Linked DNA regions of Tribolium castaneum. The protein of the gene in region 1 purifies or fractionates together with the protein of each later gene. This does not show direct contact. Links are inferred from orthologs where the notes say so. Each region holds a gene or a part of one and is shown on either strand. Other genes may lie near its edges. The genes, in order: tum and protein FAM98A.

Region 1 (3,564 bases):
AGCAGAATTGTATAATTTTTATCTGTTTCATCCGTTTGGGCGCGTGTTTTAACTACAAACTTTAATTATTTGAAAAAAAATTGTGTCGAAAATTGTATTATTTTTGCCCCTTATGAGATAACTGATTCAGATTTTCGCGAGAATTTTCGACATAAGATCCATATTTTGTCTTATCCGAGGTTTTAAACACGCTTTTGAGATTAGGCTAAATTGTGATGAAACGTTACTAACTCAAAAATAATCCGGAAAATAACAAAATTTGGAATGTTAATTTTGTATTTAGCGGACGTTTATAGACGTTTTTAAAGAGTTTTTTGTTATGTAGGTGTAGAGTCTTTGTGTGTTTTAAGCACGTGTTTAAATTGAAAACTTCATTTTGAAATGGAGCATAGGCTTATTAATATTAATATTTTCAATAATATAAAGTCGCCCTGATTCTGTGAGATTATATGGTGATCATAAAATTAGTCTATTATGTGAAATGTAACCGATACCCTATTGAAAAGAAACCCCAGTGGTAAATTATTCTAGCAACTTTTCTAGCAACACCCTTGTCAAAGGGTCCAGGACGGAACTCAAAATAATTTGAGACCGCACAAATTAAATTTGTTTTATATTAAACAATGATAAAATGTTGGCACCTGATAATTTTCATGCTTGCAATCTGGTTTTACAGCAGTAATTATTTTCTTTTCTTAAGTGCTTAAGTGAATTTTGAAAACATTAGGGAAATTATTTGGAGCCGGACCTGGCCGGTGAAAGCAACCAGTCTAGGAGAAGTCAGTTTTTGCAAGGGCGCGTAGGTCTTAATACCTGCACAATAGATGATCCTTAGTAGTGGTAATGAAGTTTATTGTGGTTGTATAATCTTACAAGATCAGGGTTACTATAATAGTATATTATTATATGTGTTTTATAAGACGTTCTCTTGTAGCACGAATGGTTTTGGAGCACGACGAAGGGGTGTTCCAATAGAATGAGTGCCACAATTAAAACTTATAAAACGAGTGCAGTACTATTTTTTCTACTTTCTATTTTTGTTGTTTGTTTTTGTTTAGTTTAACTTATCAAAATCTGTTTAAACTGTTTCCTCTTATTTTTGTTAATTATTCGGGCTTTATGATAAGCGACTTGACCCAGCCACCCAGCCCAGCAATGCCAATACAACTTCTAAAAATTTACTAAAAGGAGTTCACAAGTTCTCTTTGTGAAACTACTTTCAGTTTGTTTGAACAATTTGTGAAACCAAAGTCGAAAAACATATTTTTGTGTTCATTTTTATACTGTTAATATGCTTGTTTTTTGGGATTAGATTGGAGCTGCTGACACCGTTAGAGCAACCACTACTCTAACTCTTAACAAAGATGGTCCTATTACTGCTACGTCTATTATCGAGTCCGTCCCTAAAACTCCGGGAGCCCCAGAATCGGCCCATACGGTTGTATGTTTATATTTGTTTGCGTTTTTCTTAATAAAAAAATTTAGGCCGACTCATACCCCAGTGCCCCTCCAGCAAACCTTGTTTTTGAATCCTGGGCTCGTGAAAGTCCGCGCAAAACTCACCAGAAACTAGCCGGCAAAGAACATTGTTTTCAACAAAAAACTCTTGTAATGCCTGAAACTTGCACATCTTGCGATAAACGAATCCGCTTTGGTAGGAGCGCTTTTAAGTGCAAAGAATGCAAAGCTCTGTGTCATTTGGAATGCAAGAACAATCTTCCTTTGCCATGTATTCCTGTGGTGCATACACCAAATCAACGAAACGGATTGGTATGTTACTAGAAATTAAAAGTAACTCTTGTACTAATGTTAACTTATGAAGGGGGTTATTGGTGATTATACCCCAACAACTCCCCCCATGGTTCCAGCTATTCTTATCCACTGCATAAACGAAATTGAATTAAGAGGGCTCTCAGAAGTTGGCTTATACCGAGTTCCAGGCTCAGAACGTGATGTTAAGGCTTTGAAGGAACGGTTTCTGAAAGGCAAAGGGGCCCCATGTCTTAATCAAGTTGACATTCCTGTGATTTGTGGAACTGTCAAAGACTTTCTCAGGGGTTTACATGAACCAGTCATAACTTACGCCTTGTGGAAAAAATTTGTACAAGCTGTGAATGCTCAGGACCCACTTGACATCCAACCAGCTCTGTATCAAGCCATATCAGAGCTTCCACAACCAAACAGAGACACTCTCGCATATATGATTCTGCATCTTCAGAAGTAAAACAGACAATTACAAGTGGAACAAGTTTAGAAAATTTTATTTTTAGGGTGGCAGAGGCCAAAGAATGCAAAATGAATATCGGTAACCTTGCCAAAATTTTCGGACCGACTTTAGTTGGATACTCGTCCGATAATCCAAACCCGAATAATTTGCTGGATGAAATCGTTCAACATAATATGGTATGTTTTGTTCTATTGCAGGTTCAAGTTTGAGACAAGTAATTTTATTAGGTAATGGAACATTTGCTTAATATCCCATCTGATTACTGGTCTGGTTTTATCAACATCGAGCCGACTTATCAACGTGGAAAATTGCAGCAAACTCCAAGCACTGATTCATTATTGCGTCCTATAGCTCCTAAAGGACTTTTCACACCAGTGAGCGCTAACAGGTTGTTGTCTCATTATAACAAATGCCCCGAAGTTTTCTAATTATTATTATTTTGCAGAAGTTGTGCGAAAAAGAAGCAGAAGTATTTTCCTTCACCCAAGAATTTCCGATAAATTATTACTTATTAATAAGTTTTTTTACATTTTATACTGAAGAAATATTATTTTCTAAACTTTAGCATCTTTTATATGCCTTTTAAATATACCACTGTATATTGTCCAAGTTGATTGGATTGGTTATTTTCAAACTAAGTGGTGTAAAATATTTATGTAAAAACTAATTACGTTAAAATATACCATATTTTGGACTAAATTTGATTATTACTTTGAAGCACCTTTCATTCTTGTTACAAGCAACGAGCGGCTTTTGATAATGGCACCAACAAAAGAAATACGTCGCATAATAATACTAATAATTATAAATACCGGGTGCTCAAAAATCGGCGCACCAACTCAATGGAGTGTGATGGAGAACTGCTTACACATAAAGGTAAAAATAGTAAAAAAATTCTTTATATTAAAGTTATTGATAAATGACGAATTTTAAATAAATGATATGTGGCAACGTTGTCTAACAGTCGTGATCGCAATTGAATTTGATCAACAATAAAAATAAATTATTTTTCAAACGGTTTCCTAGGAAATCATTCCCAGTGTTGGCACATCTGCACATTGTGATTTTTTCGATGAATTCTAATTTTTTTAAATTGAAAAAACTGCTAAAGTCTGTTAGTAAATTTAAAAATAATTATTCATCGTTTTGTTAGGTAACTATTACTTAGTGCGAAACATAAAAACATTAAAAAATAATAAAAACTGAAGAAGTTAACAAAATAAATTTGTCGTTTCAGATTTTTTAAGATATAACTTTAGGAATTTTTTCAAGATTTTTTCGATGATCTACACATGCTTCTCAACAACGTACCACTGAGTTGGTGCGCCAGTTTTTGA
Region 2 (4,188 bases), about 12 Mb from region 1:
TATCTAAACGATTTATGACTCTGTTTCCACTTAAAAAATAAAGTAAGACTTTATCCTTTCTCTTGCTTTTTTCCGAGTGCAATAATTTAATTGCTTGCAATTGACTCAGATTTGTAACATGGGTGCCACAGCACATGTTACTGTCAATACCTTCAATGGTAACAACGCGGATGTCGCCCACGTGGTCTGCTGGTAGGTCGCGAGCGCTGCGGTACTAAAATAATTCATTTACACGACTAGGCATAAAAGTTGATTTTTTATGATTAATGTCTGACGATTTTACAAAAAATAAAAGAACATCGTACATTTTCTAGTTTCTCAGGGGGCGTATTTTCGTCGAAAATATTAACAACGACCGGCCGTTGATCCCTTATCAGTTCGTTACAAATGTTTTCAACGTGATCGATCTGTTCTTGGGTAATTTTCGGTATATCTTTAAACATAAATTATTCAGAGCGTTCAAACCAAAAAAAAAAATACCTAGTTCAATGTACGACACTTCTTCTCCCAAGTACCAGGAGATTGTATCAAAGTTAAATTCTCTGATTAAAACAGCAGAGATTAAATGTTGGCCTGAATGTTGCTGCATGTGATCCAGTCTGCGATTCCAGTCAATGATGCCTTTAACGTCATCACCGACATTGAGCGGTTTTTCGATGAAATGGACAGCTTTGTCGCCCCTTCGTATGACTTGGTACACGGGTTGGTCGTTCAAAAAACCGTGGTCACAGGGCTGCAATTTTTAGTCAAATGGGTTATTAAAATGTACCGTTTGTTCAATTAAATTTCTGATCAAAGTGACCTGGCACAATGTTGCTAACTTAATTTCAGTCACTAGGACCAGAAAATTAATTGAATATGTGCACGAAAAATTAAAAACCTGGCCGCCCCCTTCAGGAAATAGAACAGTGTTCTCCAGAATGACTTCATATCCATTGATTTTAACGTTTTTGCCGTCAACGGTTGCGTCAAACTCGCTTTTTTCGCATGAGACTACTTTTGAAGTAAACTACAAGTATTTTTAATGTAACAAGTTAAAATTTGTTGTTTGGTACCTCTTTCAAAAAGCTGTCTTCCTGGCACTTAAACACCATGTTAGAATTACCGATCACTTTACAAATTAGTAAATTTTTGAGCAACTCTTCCGTGCTCTGGTTTGACAGTATGGAATTAAATTTTTTGGGTGTTTTAAGTGGTGTTTCTTAAAAACATATAAATGTGCGACTTTAATATATAATATTAAATCTAATAATCTATAATCTTATCGTGTTGTTCAAATAAAATAAAACAAGTCATCGGGGCCCCCACAAAACACGTTGCGACTTACGTTACGTTTTGACATTTCGTATTACGTTACGTTAATACCTCACTGTAATTCTCAATTTTGTGAATTTCCTAGCATATTTAATTTTTAACAACTACTTCGCTACAACGCAAATTGAGTTTTTTAAACGTTTTCCCCATAATAAAAATTTTCAAAAAAAAAAAAGTAAAAAATGTTGCGTTATTTTACGTTGCGATATTTGACAGCTTGACCACTTGACATTTTCGCAAATTGGTTAGAAATTCAATAACCGGCTTCAATCTCTATATTAGTGCAAAAGTAAGACATAGTATTAATTAATACAATGGAACAGAAACTCTTAGACGGACTGAAGGACCTGGGGTAATTATTTCCCAACCAAAAATTTCCAGGTCTAACTTGCATTGCAGTTATTGTGGCCCCCTTCTCGAGAAGGCTAGTTTTGATTCTGCCCTGCAGGAGGGAGCAAAAAACGTGGAATTCACCAAGCTAGTCAGTTTTTTAACAAACGAGCTACGCGCATTGCTTAATATCGATGAGGAAGTCAATCCAATATCAGGCCCTGAAGATTCAGTATCGTTTGTTATGGAAGTTAGTTCTTTTCTGAAAGAATTGAGTGCGGTGGTTTTGTTGTATTTTGCCAATTTTTTCACATTTAATGGTTACAGACTGCCCCTACGTTGCCTTAACACAGGGCCATATTTCAGACCGTCTGGAAAGTCACCAAGACAAATTATTACTTTTAGACTATTTGGCTACTGAACTGATGGCCGCAAGAGTACTACAAGAGAAAAAGCCCGATAAAAAATTTGAGCTAAAACTGGTAAGTAAAACGAAACGCAATTTTCAAATTGTTGATAAAGTTTTGCAGCAAGAGACTGAAGAAGCTGCCAATATGAGGAAGATATTAATGACTCTGAGGTTTCATAAACCGCCCCCAAACATTACTATTCCACAGTTATTCCAAAAAGTTTGCCCAACTGTGCAAAGTATTGTTCAAAAAGTTGGAAGTGAATTAGTTGGAAAGCCTGCGTTTCAAGGAACACTTTCTGATAAGCAGTGGGAAACACTAAATGGGGTTCAGAAGGATTTGAACAATGAATATAAAATTAGAAGAGAGATGTTGCTAACAAGGCTGGATGTTACGATTCAGTCTTTTCAGGTGGGCACTAATTTTAACATTTGTTCCATTCTTATTTATTACTTCAAAACAAATTTCATTTGCAATCTATACATAAGTTTCATATTCAATTGTTGTTGCAGTGGTCTGATAAAACGAAAGGCAAAGATGAGTTATTTGAAAAAGTTTACACCGAAAAGCGGAAACGCCTGAAAACGGAACCGGAAGTTGAACTTGCTGATTTATTAGCCGCACGAGACGACATTGCAATTATCGAAAAGACAAGTAACTCGTCTGTGCGCAAAAACACAAAATCGTCACTAAATAAAGTCATTATTGGACAGGTAAAACCATGATTTTGTTTAAGAAAAAAACACCAAAGAAAACTTTTAGGTTCCTGATCGTGGAGGCCGAACCTCTGAGCAAGCGCCGCCCCCTCCGGAGATGCCCTCTTGGCAGCAGCGCACGCCGGGGCCCTCGGGGGGCGGTCGAGGAAGAGGCGGCGGTAACTTTTCCCGTAACGACAACAGACAGAACTATTCAAGAGATTCGGGGAGTTACGGTGGAAGTTACTCTGGTAATCAAGGTGGTTATGATAATTATAAAAGCGGCGGTCGCGGTTACGACAATTATAACCAGGGGCGCAGTTATGACAGTGCTGGAAGTTACGGTGGTGGTTATAACAACCCTGGTTATAATAACGAGAGACAGGGGAGTTACGGCGGCGGCCAAGGCAGTTATAACGATAATAAAAGTAGTTACGATAATAGGAATTTTGATAGTGCAGGTAGTTACTCCACGAGCTATGAACAAAATTCGAAAAGGCCGAAAACTTACGATTCCTTTCAACAAAATAGAACGACTTATGCTGATCAGTATGTGCAAGAGGAACAGCATAATCAGCAGTATCACGGGAGGGGGAATTACAGAGGGAGAGGCAGAGGACACTCGAATTACAACAGGGGAGGCAGGAATCACTATTAAAAATTGTGCTGTATCATTATTTGCAGTTATTTGAAACTAGCACTAACACTTGAAAGATTGCTAATGTATTTAAATATTTAATAAAAGTACTGAATCGATATTGAAGTTTGATTTTATAGTATTTCCATTTTCATCCAAAACAGTTTCTAGAACTGAAGAACTCACTTCCTAAAGCTAGTAAATTCAAAAAAAGGTAAAAATTAAATGCGCCATCTATGCAATAAAGCCAAAAGTAAATTAAAATTGTTAGTGTTGCCATCTATATGTTGGATGTAAAAGTACAATGCTACAGTAATCTGTAATGTTTTAATTGCCATCTATACGCTTTAAATTAAAGCTAAAATATAAAGTAACCTGTAAATTTAGCGCCATCTATTTATTTTTAATCTAAGCTTTAGTTAATAATAACCTGTAAAAATTAAAGAAAAGTGTCTTCTCTTGCCTTTCGGATTTATTAATATTTTGAACTTAAATATGGGACACTTTCTGTTGTCGTAGCGACTTGAAATTTTGCATGCTTACATAACTTTTGAAGCACTATTACGTCATGTACTTCGATTCCCGATTTAAAAATGTGCAGTGCTATCTCGGTTCCTGAGGGAGATACGGGAACGGGACCTAGCCTATTCGATAGCCCGGGAAAAATACTACGGGGCGGTAGGGGTTTTAAAAGGGCAGAACCACCCCTCTATTTCCAACAGGAACGGAGATATTTCGCATTTTGTGAATCGCAGATTTTGTTCAATTTTTATAAAAATTTTGATAAGTGAAAGAAATTTTG

Evidence for each region.
Region 2: the proteins of tum (region 1) and protein FAM98A purify together in Homo sapiens (co-immunoprecipitation; 3 studies listed by BioGRID and IntAct, with this or other methods). This does not show direct contact. The link is inferred for Tribolium castaneum from reciprocal best matches to the Homo sapiens genes RACGAP1 and FAM98A.

Annotation. Positions count from the first base shown.
Region 1 is NC_087394.1:20,766,345-20,769,908, reverse strand, and holds the end of tum (rac GTPase-activating protein 1), read left to right. Parts: intron 1-1,312; coding exon 1,313-1,438; intron 1,439-1,485; coding exon 1,486-1,770; intron 1,771-1,822; coding exon 1,823-2,220; intron 2,221-2,270; coding exon 2,271-2,403; intron 2,404-2,454; coding exon 2,455-2,615; intron 2,616-2,672; coding exon 2,673-2,727; 3' UTR 2,728-2,926; downstream 2,927-3,564.
Region 2 is NC_087394.1:32,799,233-32,803,420, reverse strand, and holds protein FAM98A, read left to right. Parts: upstream 1-1,495; 5' UTR 1,496-1,628; coding exon 1,629-1,666; intron 1,667-1,713; coding exon 1,714-1,919; intron 1,920-1,971; coding exon 1,972-2,465; intron 2,466-2,566; coding exon 2,567-2,767; intron 2,768-2,816; coding exon 2,817-3,407; 3' UTR 3,408-3,505; downstream 3,506-4,188. Other genes in the region: alanyl-tRNA editing protein Aarsd1, read right to left, coding at 1-214, 306-433, 481-733, 881-1,009, 1,056-1,094. UniProt on the Homo sapiens protein: Positively stimulates PRMT1-induced protein arginine methylation. Involved in skeletal homeostasis. Positively regulates lysosome peripheral distribution and ruffled border formation in osteoclasts.